2 linked regions of the Mus musculus genome follow. The protein of the gene in region 1 binds, or shares a complex with, the protein of each later gene. Links are inferred from orthologs where the notes say so. Each region holds a gene or a part of one and is shown on either strand. Other genes may lie near its edges. The genes, in order: Atp2a1 and Sln.

Region 1 (3,809 bases):
GCCAGGTAACAGGGTGTGCTCAGAGTGACTGGCCAACAAGGGCTCTGCTAGGAGACACAAGCCACTGTGTTAATATGTAGCTTTTCTTTTTCTATTTTTTCTTTGTTTTGGTTTTTGCTGTGGTTGTTTTTCAGATAGAGTTTTGTAATGTAGCCAGGGCTGGCCCTGATCGTGAATTCATGATGCAGCCAGGGCTGGCCCTCCCTGGTCAGGAATTCATGAATTCCTCTTGACCTCCTGGGTGCTGGAACCTCAGGTGTACCCACCACACCCAGATCCAGCTCTCCTTTTTTAAATCAGTCAGTCAGTCAGTCAGTCAGTCTGTTTTTTTTTTTTTTTTTTTTTTTTTGAGATAGGGTTTCTCTGTATAACAGCTCTGGCTGTCCAGAAACTCACTTTGTAGATCAGGCTGGCCTCGGATTCACAGAGATCTACCTGCCTATGCCTCCCAAGTGCTGGGATCAGAGGTGTGTGCCATCACTTTCTGACTCGGCAGGCTTTTTGCAGCAGGCCTTGGCACTGCCAGTCTATGCAGGGCAGGCATTATAAGGATTGCAGGAATTATGTTTTCTGGCCCTGTGCTTCCAAGGTCCTACTGATGTCCAACACCAGGTACCAAGGCAGCAGGCCCCAGCGTCACCAACAGTACTGCCCATCTTCCTCTGAACTTCCTCCTGTCTGTCCCAAATTCCTCCCTGACCAACATGTCACCATCTTTCCAGATGGACCTGACGTTTGTTGGTGTTGTGGGCATGTTGGATCCACCCCGCAAGGAGGTCACAGGCTCTATCCAGCTGTGTCGTGATGCTGGGATCCGAGTGATCATGATCACTGGGGACAACAAGGGTACAGCCATTGCCATCTGCCGACGAATTGGCATCTTTTCGGAGAATGAGGAAGTGACAGACCGTGCCTACACTGGCCGTGAGTTTGACGATCTGCCCCTGGCCGAGCAGCGGGAGGCCTGCAGACGCGCCTGCTGCTTTGCTCGTGTGGAGCCCTCACACAAGTCCAAGATTGTGGAGTACCTGCAGTCCTACGATGAGATCACAGCCATGGTGAGAAGTCGCAGAGGGCTGCCCGGGTCAAGGCTCTGAGTGTCCCCACGCATGCTGGGTGTGTGTGTGGGGGGAGACTCTGCATGGAGTCTGAGGAGGGGAAATAGAAGGCATCTGGAACCTGGAGTTTCTCACTCTCTCCTTCCGTCTTCAGACAGGGGATGGTGTCAATGATGCCCCTGCTCTGAAGAAGGCCGAGATTGGCATTGCCATGGGATCTGGTACTGCTGTGGCTAAGACGGCCTCTGAAATGGTACTGGCCGATGATAACTTCTCCACCATCGTGGCTGCCGTGGAGGAAGGCCGCGCCATCTACAACAACATGAAGCAGTTCATCCGCTACCTCATCTCCTCCAATGTGGGCGAGGTGGTCTGGTGAGCAGCCAGAAGAAAAAAAAACCAACAACCCAGGGCTGAGGGGGTTGATCATGGGACTTGAAACAAATGAATGCATGACTTTCTTCCTCTGCCAGTATCTTCTTGACAGCAGCCTTGGGGCTGCCTGAGGCTCTGATCCCTGTGCAGCTGCTCTGGGTGAACTTGGTGACTGATGGGCTCCCGGCTACTGCCCTGGGATTCAACCCACCTGACCTGGACATCATGGACCGCCCCCCCAGGAGTCCCAAGGAGCCTCTTATCAGTGGCTGGCTCTTTTTCCGCTACATGGCAATTGGGGGTAAGCAAGAAGGGACTCAACCACCTTTCCCAGCCTTTGGGACCAACCTCGTCCCTGATACCAGCTTTTCCCAATTCAAGCTGCCCAAAGCCAGCTGTCTCCAGCTGTGTGAGGTCTTCCTGATACTTAACTCATCAGCCCTGACCCCAGCTCCTCTCTTCTCCCCACCACAGGCTATGTGGGTGCAGCCACTGTAGGAGCAGCTGCCTGGTGGTTTTTGTATGCAGAGGACGGGCCTCATGTCAGCTACCATCAGCTGGTAGGAAGGAGGCTGGGGAGGTGGGCCCTGAGAGGGTGTGCCGAAGGCTTCTGTGGAGCTCAGGCTTCTGTCTCTTCCTTCATAGACTCATTTCATGCAGTGCACTGAGCACAACCCTGAATTCGATGGCCTGGACTGTGAGGTCTTTGAGGCCCCCGAGCCCATGACCATGGCCTTGTCTGTGTTGGTGACCATCGAGATGTGCAATGCTCTCAACAGGTAGGCCTTGTCCACTTGGGTGGGCCCTGTGCCTTCATGTTCTCCCCGCCTCTCTTCTCCCTCCACTCTGCCTTACCACATCTTTCTCTGTATCCCTGTCTCTCCATCTGCCTGGCCTTTTGTTCTAGCCTGTCTGAGAACCAGTCCCTACTGCGGATGCCACCCTGGGTGAACATCTGGCTGCTGGGTTCCATCTGCCTGTCCATGTCCCTCCACTTCCTCATCCTCTATGTCGACCCCCTGCCGGTGAGCTGTCACCTCTCTGCCCCGGGGGAGCCCATGCAGAGCATGTGTCCACAGGGTGCTCACAGGGCGTGGTATTTTATGCCACCCTGGCCCCCTTTCCTTCTGAGGAAGCACTTGTCATTCCTGATGCCTGCTGTCCTCTTCCCAGATGATCTTCAAGCTCCGGGCCCTGGACTTTACCCAGTGGCTCATGGTCCTCAAGATCTCACTGCCAGTCATCGGGCTGGATGAGCTTCTCAAGTTCATTGCTCGGAACTATCTGGAGGGTAAGGGACATCCCTTTTTCCTTGTACCCAGTCCTGAGCAGAGCCCCTGCCCTCTGCGCTGCGAACACGCGCCATAAGTCATCTATCCCCCTCTTCCTTTGTAGGTAGGTAGGTAAGTTCTTTTTAGCCCTGGTGGGACCAGTGTCCCCCAGGGAGGGCAACCCAAGCCCTGTCCCCACTCCAGCTATGACTGGTGGGATTTTCTCCCAACCTGCTCAGCCCCCTGGCTCCGAGGGCCTCCTTCCCTCTTGATAACGGCCTCTCTCTGTCCTCTCTGGCCATAGGATAACCACCCCCCTCCTCCATGTCTTTGAACCGTGTCACAGGTATTTCCCTACCCGCCCTGCCCCAGCTGCTGTACCCTGCCGCTCGCCCACCACCAGCCCATGCGCACCCCTGCGGTCACTTGCGCGCGCTCGCAGCTCTCCCTGGAGCCACTGCTGCTGTTGCCACTGCCCGCTTCCACATGAGGGCCATGCCGTTACTGTGGGCACTGGCAGCTGTGAGGCTGTGTCCTGGCCGTCCAGTCTGCTGGGCTGGGATGCGCTGCGCTGCGTCGCGCTGGCTGTCTCTGCTGCTGGGGCTGCGGTGGTGGCTGGGGGGCGGGTTGGGGTCTGGCACATCACAGGTGAGTAGGGAAAGGGGCCCTTAGGCCCCTCCAGGTGAGTGTGCAGGAGATGCGCAAGGAGATACAGCTCTCCCTCCTGTGCCCGCCTGCTCCATCCCCTGCCTTTCTTCTTCCAGATCCAGAAGACGAAAGAAGGAAGTAACCAGCCCTTGTGCCCTGTGTTCCCCACCCCAATAGCCATGCATCTTCAGCCAAAGCTGAGGCACTGACCCTTCTTCCCCCTCAATTCTGTTTATAAATAAAGTCCTCCACCCTCGTCCCCTTCAGCAACCCGCTCTCCCTCCGAACCTTGTAAATCCCCTTCCCGAACTCACGGGGCTTGCAGGCACAAGGCAACTGACTAGCTGATTGCTTATTTATTGAAAATAAATGACAGAAAAGTCTGGCCTTGCTTCCTTATATCTTGGGGCCTGTTTCAGGTGCCTACGGACAAATACCTTAGTGTCGTACAGTCCAG
Region 2 (4,483 bases), on another chromosome or scaffold:
CGTTTTACAAGACAAGTGGTGACAGAATGTTGTAATTAGACCACCCTTCGAAGGGCTCATGTTGAAATAAAGAGATGGAATGGAAAATCCTCCTTTTGTTGGCGCCTCTGGGGCGGTAGGGATGGCGAGAAAGGCTTGACCGTGGATACAAGCATGCAGAGAGTTGTGTTTGCCCCTGCCTCTGGGCATGACCTATTTTTATGGACCCTAAGTGGGGACTGTCAGGGGAGATTTAATCTACTGTTCTTAAAGACAAGATTTACTGAGCAGTACAGTTACTGGGGTCATATTTAGATTCCTTGGTTGATGGCTTTCAAATCCACTTAAACATGGTAGAGACTTCACTTACTTCCTCAAATCTGATTTGTTACAAACTCGTCCTTGTCTGATTTGAGCCAGTGTTTGTTGTTGAAAATGGTGCCATTTCATTCCTTTAAGATATATTCTACGGGCTGGTGAGATGACTCAGTTGTTAAGAGCACTAGGTGTTCCATCATTGGTCTAGGGTTCGAATCCTAGTACCCACACAGTGGCTTACAATTGTCTGGGACTGGACAATGCACGCCTCCAACCTCCCAGGCTTCTGTACACACATGTGATGCACACAGTTATACACTTTCATGCAGGCAAAATATTCATATTCATAAAATACAACACAAAGGAAATAAAAATGATATATCCTAGATATTTCTATCTAGTCTAGAACTCACATTCCTACTCGTTTCGACCAGGTTAACTTCTAAGCCCCATTTAGCCAAATGACTGGGTTTTTGCAGTCTGTTTTACTGCTATGCTAGTTTAACTGACAAGGATACAAGCTCTGGCTCCCATGGCTGTTTCAGGAGAAATCAGCTGAACGCGTGAACTTGCTGGGCATTGCTTTGATGTGAAGCAGGAGATGGGGTTGGGAAGGGGATAACTTCTATGGCTAGGACAAAAGTCAGTTTTGAGGGAGACTTAAGGGGTTCTGGAGCTCGGTGTGGGAATGTGGGAACAAGGCAGAGAATTCTCCACATTGCAAACAGCTAGTGATAGGGGTGATGACGTGAAATCACATTTTCATAGCTTCACATGTCGAGTAGTGAAGATAGCTATTTGTTAAAACTGGTCTATTACTCTTGCTTTATGATGTTCTGAACATATGATTGAGACATTTATAAAGAGGTAAAAGATGGATTTAAAATCCCACACCACTACATCAAAAGTAGGCCGGAAACAAGAGCTTTCATATCCCTGTGTTGTTCATTTAAATTGGCAGCCAAAGGAGCAGAGCCCTTGCTACCATATTTCTATGCCCCCCCCCCCCAGTACAAATTGGCTGGAAACCTTTGGAGCTTGTCCCTTTGAGATGTCTCACCAGTGACATCACAGTGATTGTCACTTCCCTCAGACTACATTAGGCCCTGCCCAGAGTCCAGGAGCTCAGACAGCCGGGGAGACAGCTGGAGGTGGAGAGACTGAGGTCCTTGGTAGCCTGAGTGTGCCCCTGCTCCTCTTCAGGTAACAGCAAGACTTCGTACTTAGCAATCTATTCCTGTCTCTGTCTCTCTCTGTGTGCAGTTTTCAAATTAAAATGTTAACTAATGCTTATATTTCTCAGTGGAACAGGTAATCACAATATAGGGCATTTCCTAAGCTGCAAACTGAATATTGATTCCTGTTTTTCTTTGATATGTATTTTCTATTTTTCTAGTTTTATATAATTTTTCCACATCTGAGAAGAAAACCAATGTCAAATTTCTTGCACAGTTTGTTGCTGGTTTGTAAGGCTTTGGTTCATGCACAGGACAACCATTTTGGCTCATAGAGAAGGCAAAAGAGGAAGCCACAGCTCGTGTGTGGGCTCATAGCAGAGACATAGAACATGGGTGATTGAATAGCCACTTAACTCTGCTCATTCTTCCCAAAGGGTGTGGATGTGTGTGAAAGTAAGATCCCAGACTGAATTGCCATATACCTTGACAGAACTGCACCCACAGGGAACTCATCAAATTGGAGCTCTATTCATTTAAAAATATACAAAACAACAAATAATTAAGGTTTTCATCAAAAGTACAAGAAAGAGCAAAGGTTAAGCCAGAGGAAAGAGACGTTTGGTGCTCAGCCTGTAGCCAGAGAGGCTGGAAAAATGGAAGAGTGCAAAAGATGCAGGCAGCTGAAACATGAATTTTAAGAAACACCAGATAACTATCATTTACCAAGAAACAGATCGTTGGCGGTACCCCAGAAGTCCATTCCAAATCATTTCCCTCCTGCCTTCTGCCCCCAAGTGTGGAGCTTGACTGTCCTTCCTTGTTTTGAACATTTACCACCCTTAGTTGTGTTCCTGGTGCTTGCCTCTGTGTAAATGGAGTCACATTCTCAGCTCCTCCTGCAAATCCTCCTTTCATCCCACAGGTATGGTGTGAGATCCTTTCATCTTGCTCTGTAGCTAGAGGTCATATATTTTCTTCACTCCACGGCATTCAAATGAATGTGAATGCCACAATTGCACCCATTCTACTGTTGGTGGCCAGAGCTTTCCAATATGTGGTCTTGAGGGTCCATATTCAGGATGCCTTTGCTGTAAGCATTTCATTTAACAAGCCTTCCTCCTCTCTCTGAACACTCATGAACATTCTGTTCTCTTCTGCTACCCACTAATTTTCTTCTGCTTATTCTCTCTCTCAGACAGCTGGTTTTTTGTAAAGGTTTTCACTGGCAATTGACAATGTACATCATGCTAAGGGCTGAAAGAGAGATAATTAAAAGGGAAGGGGTTAGCAAGATTGCACTTGCTGCCAAGCTTGATAACCCGAGTTCTATCTCTGGGTGCCTTGGGAGGAAAGAGAGAACTAACTCCTGAAACTTGTTCTCTGATCCCTGAATGTGCACTGTGACACACGTGTGTCTCCTGCACCAGCTGCATACATAAATGAATGTAATAAAAATTAAGAATAAAAAGGGAAGGAACCATAATTCCATCATCATTGGCTATATTTTAAAATGAGATTCTATAATGTGTTCATTAGCACAATCTGGTAAGAACCTGTATATTATACTAACAATTACACAATAAAAGCTGATTATTCCACTGGTATCTATGCAATTAATAATTTGGTCCATTGATGACCAAACAAATACAACAGGTACAGTTAATTCAGTCAGGCCAAAAGTTGCTACAAAGTTTTGATCCTTTGAACTTTGACCTTTTGCAAACCAGTATTCTTTCCAACAAAATTTTCTTCCATGCTACAATCTTGTTCTACAATAATAGTATCCACTTAAATCATTTAAAACATAGAAGATTTAAATTTTAATTTGATTGTATAAACCAAGCGTCAACTTTACCAAAATTAGTAACCTGATTGACAGCATTGCCTGCACTCTTGGAGGATACTTTCCTGCATGTACAATCCGTATGCACAGTGAAGATGCCCTCTCTGCTGTCTGAAATGTTTACAATCTAGGCACATCCTGAGCTTGACTAAAAATAGCTGGCACAAGCCCTTGTTGAGACAGAAATGCTCATGAGGTTAACACTTGTTCTTTGGACTGAGTACCTGTTGTGCGAGGGACTTCTGGTTGACCTCTGCGGGCTTTGTGCCAGTGGAGGCTTGTACGAAGCCATGCAGCTGTTGGAGCTGCTTTATGCTTTCAGCAGGGTTGGATGAAGACCTAAGGCAGCTTTAAATCTGAAAGATGATGTTATCCTACTCCTAAATGTGATCCAAAGAGAGAGCAATACTTAAACTATAAAGTTTGTTTCTGTTTTGGTGTCCCTGATTGCAGATATTCCAAATAGCATAGTTAACAAGTATACCTAAAAGTGCAGAAGATGAAGAGAGAAAAATGCAATATTTTATTTCTTACGCAAAACAATGCAATTAATACAGGATAAAAATATTGGCCTTGGGATGATAGCAGGAAGAGAGAGCTGTTTCTCTGAAGAGTATGGGCAAACACAAGCAGCCTAGTTTCTCTTATAAAACAAAACACTTCATGGAAGCTGGCTTACAGTCCCAGAGGTTTAGCTCATTATCCCCATGACAGGAAACATGGGAGCATGCAGGTAGAAAGGTGCTGGAGAGGGAGCTGAAAGTTCTACATCTCGACCCACAGGCAGCAAGGAGAGACAGTATCATACTGGGTATAGTTTGAGCATAGGAGACCTTAAATCCCAACCCCACAGTGACACATTTCTTCTATTAAGACCAAACCTTTTGTAACAAGACCATACTTTCTAATAGTGTCATTCCCTATGGGTCAAGCATTCAAACACATGAATCTCTGGGGGCCATACCTATTCAAACCATCACAAGGTCCTTCTTCCCAGGTGACTGTAGGTTTATATCAAGTTGATGCTGAAGCTACCATGACAGTGAGCTCATGTTAGCTCACTTTCTTTTTGGAAGACCCTATCTCCAAACCCGGTCACATTCTTAGGTATTGGGGATTAAGATTTCACCTATAAATGTCAGGGGAAGGGTTGGGAAGTCAGCAC

What was found.
Region 2: the proteins of Atp2a1 (region 1) and Sln are in contact, whole or in part, in a crystal structure (PDB 3W5A), measured with the Oryctolagus cuniculus proteins. The link is inferred for Mus musculus from reciprocal best matches to the Homo sapiens genes ATP2A1 and SLN. Residues at the interface, in XP_069919846.1 of Oryctolagus cuniculus: Phe88, Val89, Leu96, Ala100, Ile103, Val104, Trp107, Arg110, Asn111, Asn114, Arg324, Lys328, Trp794, Leu797, Gly801, Leu802, Thr805, Ala806, Phe809, Trp932, Ser936, Leu939, Leu943, Leu946, Ile947, Val950, Pro952, Leu953, Ile956; in NP_001075856.1 of Oryctolagus cuniculus: Met1, Glu2, Arg3, Ser4, Thr5, Arg6, Glu7, Leu8, Leu10, Asn11, Phe12, Val14, Val15, Thr18, Val19, Leu21, Ile22, Trp23, Leu25, Val26, Tyr29.

What each region holds. Positions count from the first base shown.
Region 1 is NC_000073.6:126,445,786-126,449,594, reverse strand, and holds the end of Atp2a1 (sarcoplasmic/endoplasmic reticulum calcium ATPase 1), read left to right. Parts: intron 1-722; coding exon 723-1,058; intron 1,059-1,212; coding exon 1,213-1,433; intron 1,434-1,531; coding exon 1,532-1,734; intron 1,735-1,907; coding exon 1,908-1,993; intron 1,994-2,078; coding exon 2,079-2,212; intron 2,213-2,340; coding exon 2,341-2,458; intron 2,459-2,606; coding exon 2,607-2,724; intron 2,725-3,008; coding exon 3,009-3,013; 3' UTR 3,014-3,050; intron 3,051-3,468; coding exon of another isoform or gene 3,469-3,494; 3' UTR 3,495-3,735; downstream 3,736-3,809. UniProt on the Homo sapiens protein: Key regulator of striated muscle performance by acting as the major Ca(2+) ATPase responsible for the reuptake of cytosolic Ca(2+) into the sarcoplasmic reticulum.
Region 2 is NC_000075.6:53,848,827-53,853,309, forward strand, and holds the start of Sln (sarcolipin), read left to right. Parts: upstream 1-1,424; 5' UTR 1,425-1,500; intron 1,501-4,483. UniProt on the Homo sapiens protein: Reversibly inhibits the activity of ATP2A1/SERCA1 and ATP2A2/SERCA2 in sarcoplasmic reticulum by decreasing the apparent affinity of the ATPase for Ca(2+). Also inhibits the activity of ATP2A3/SERCA3.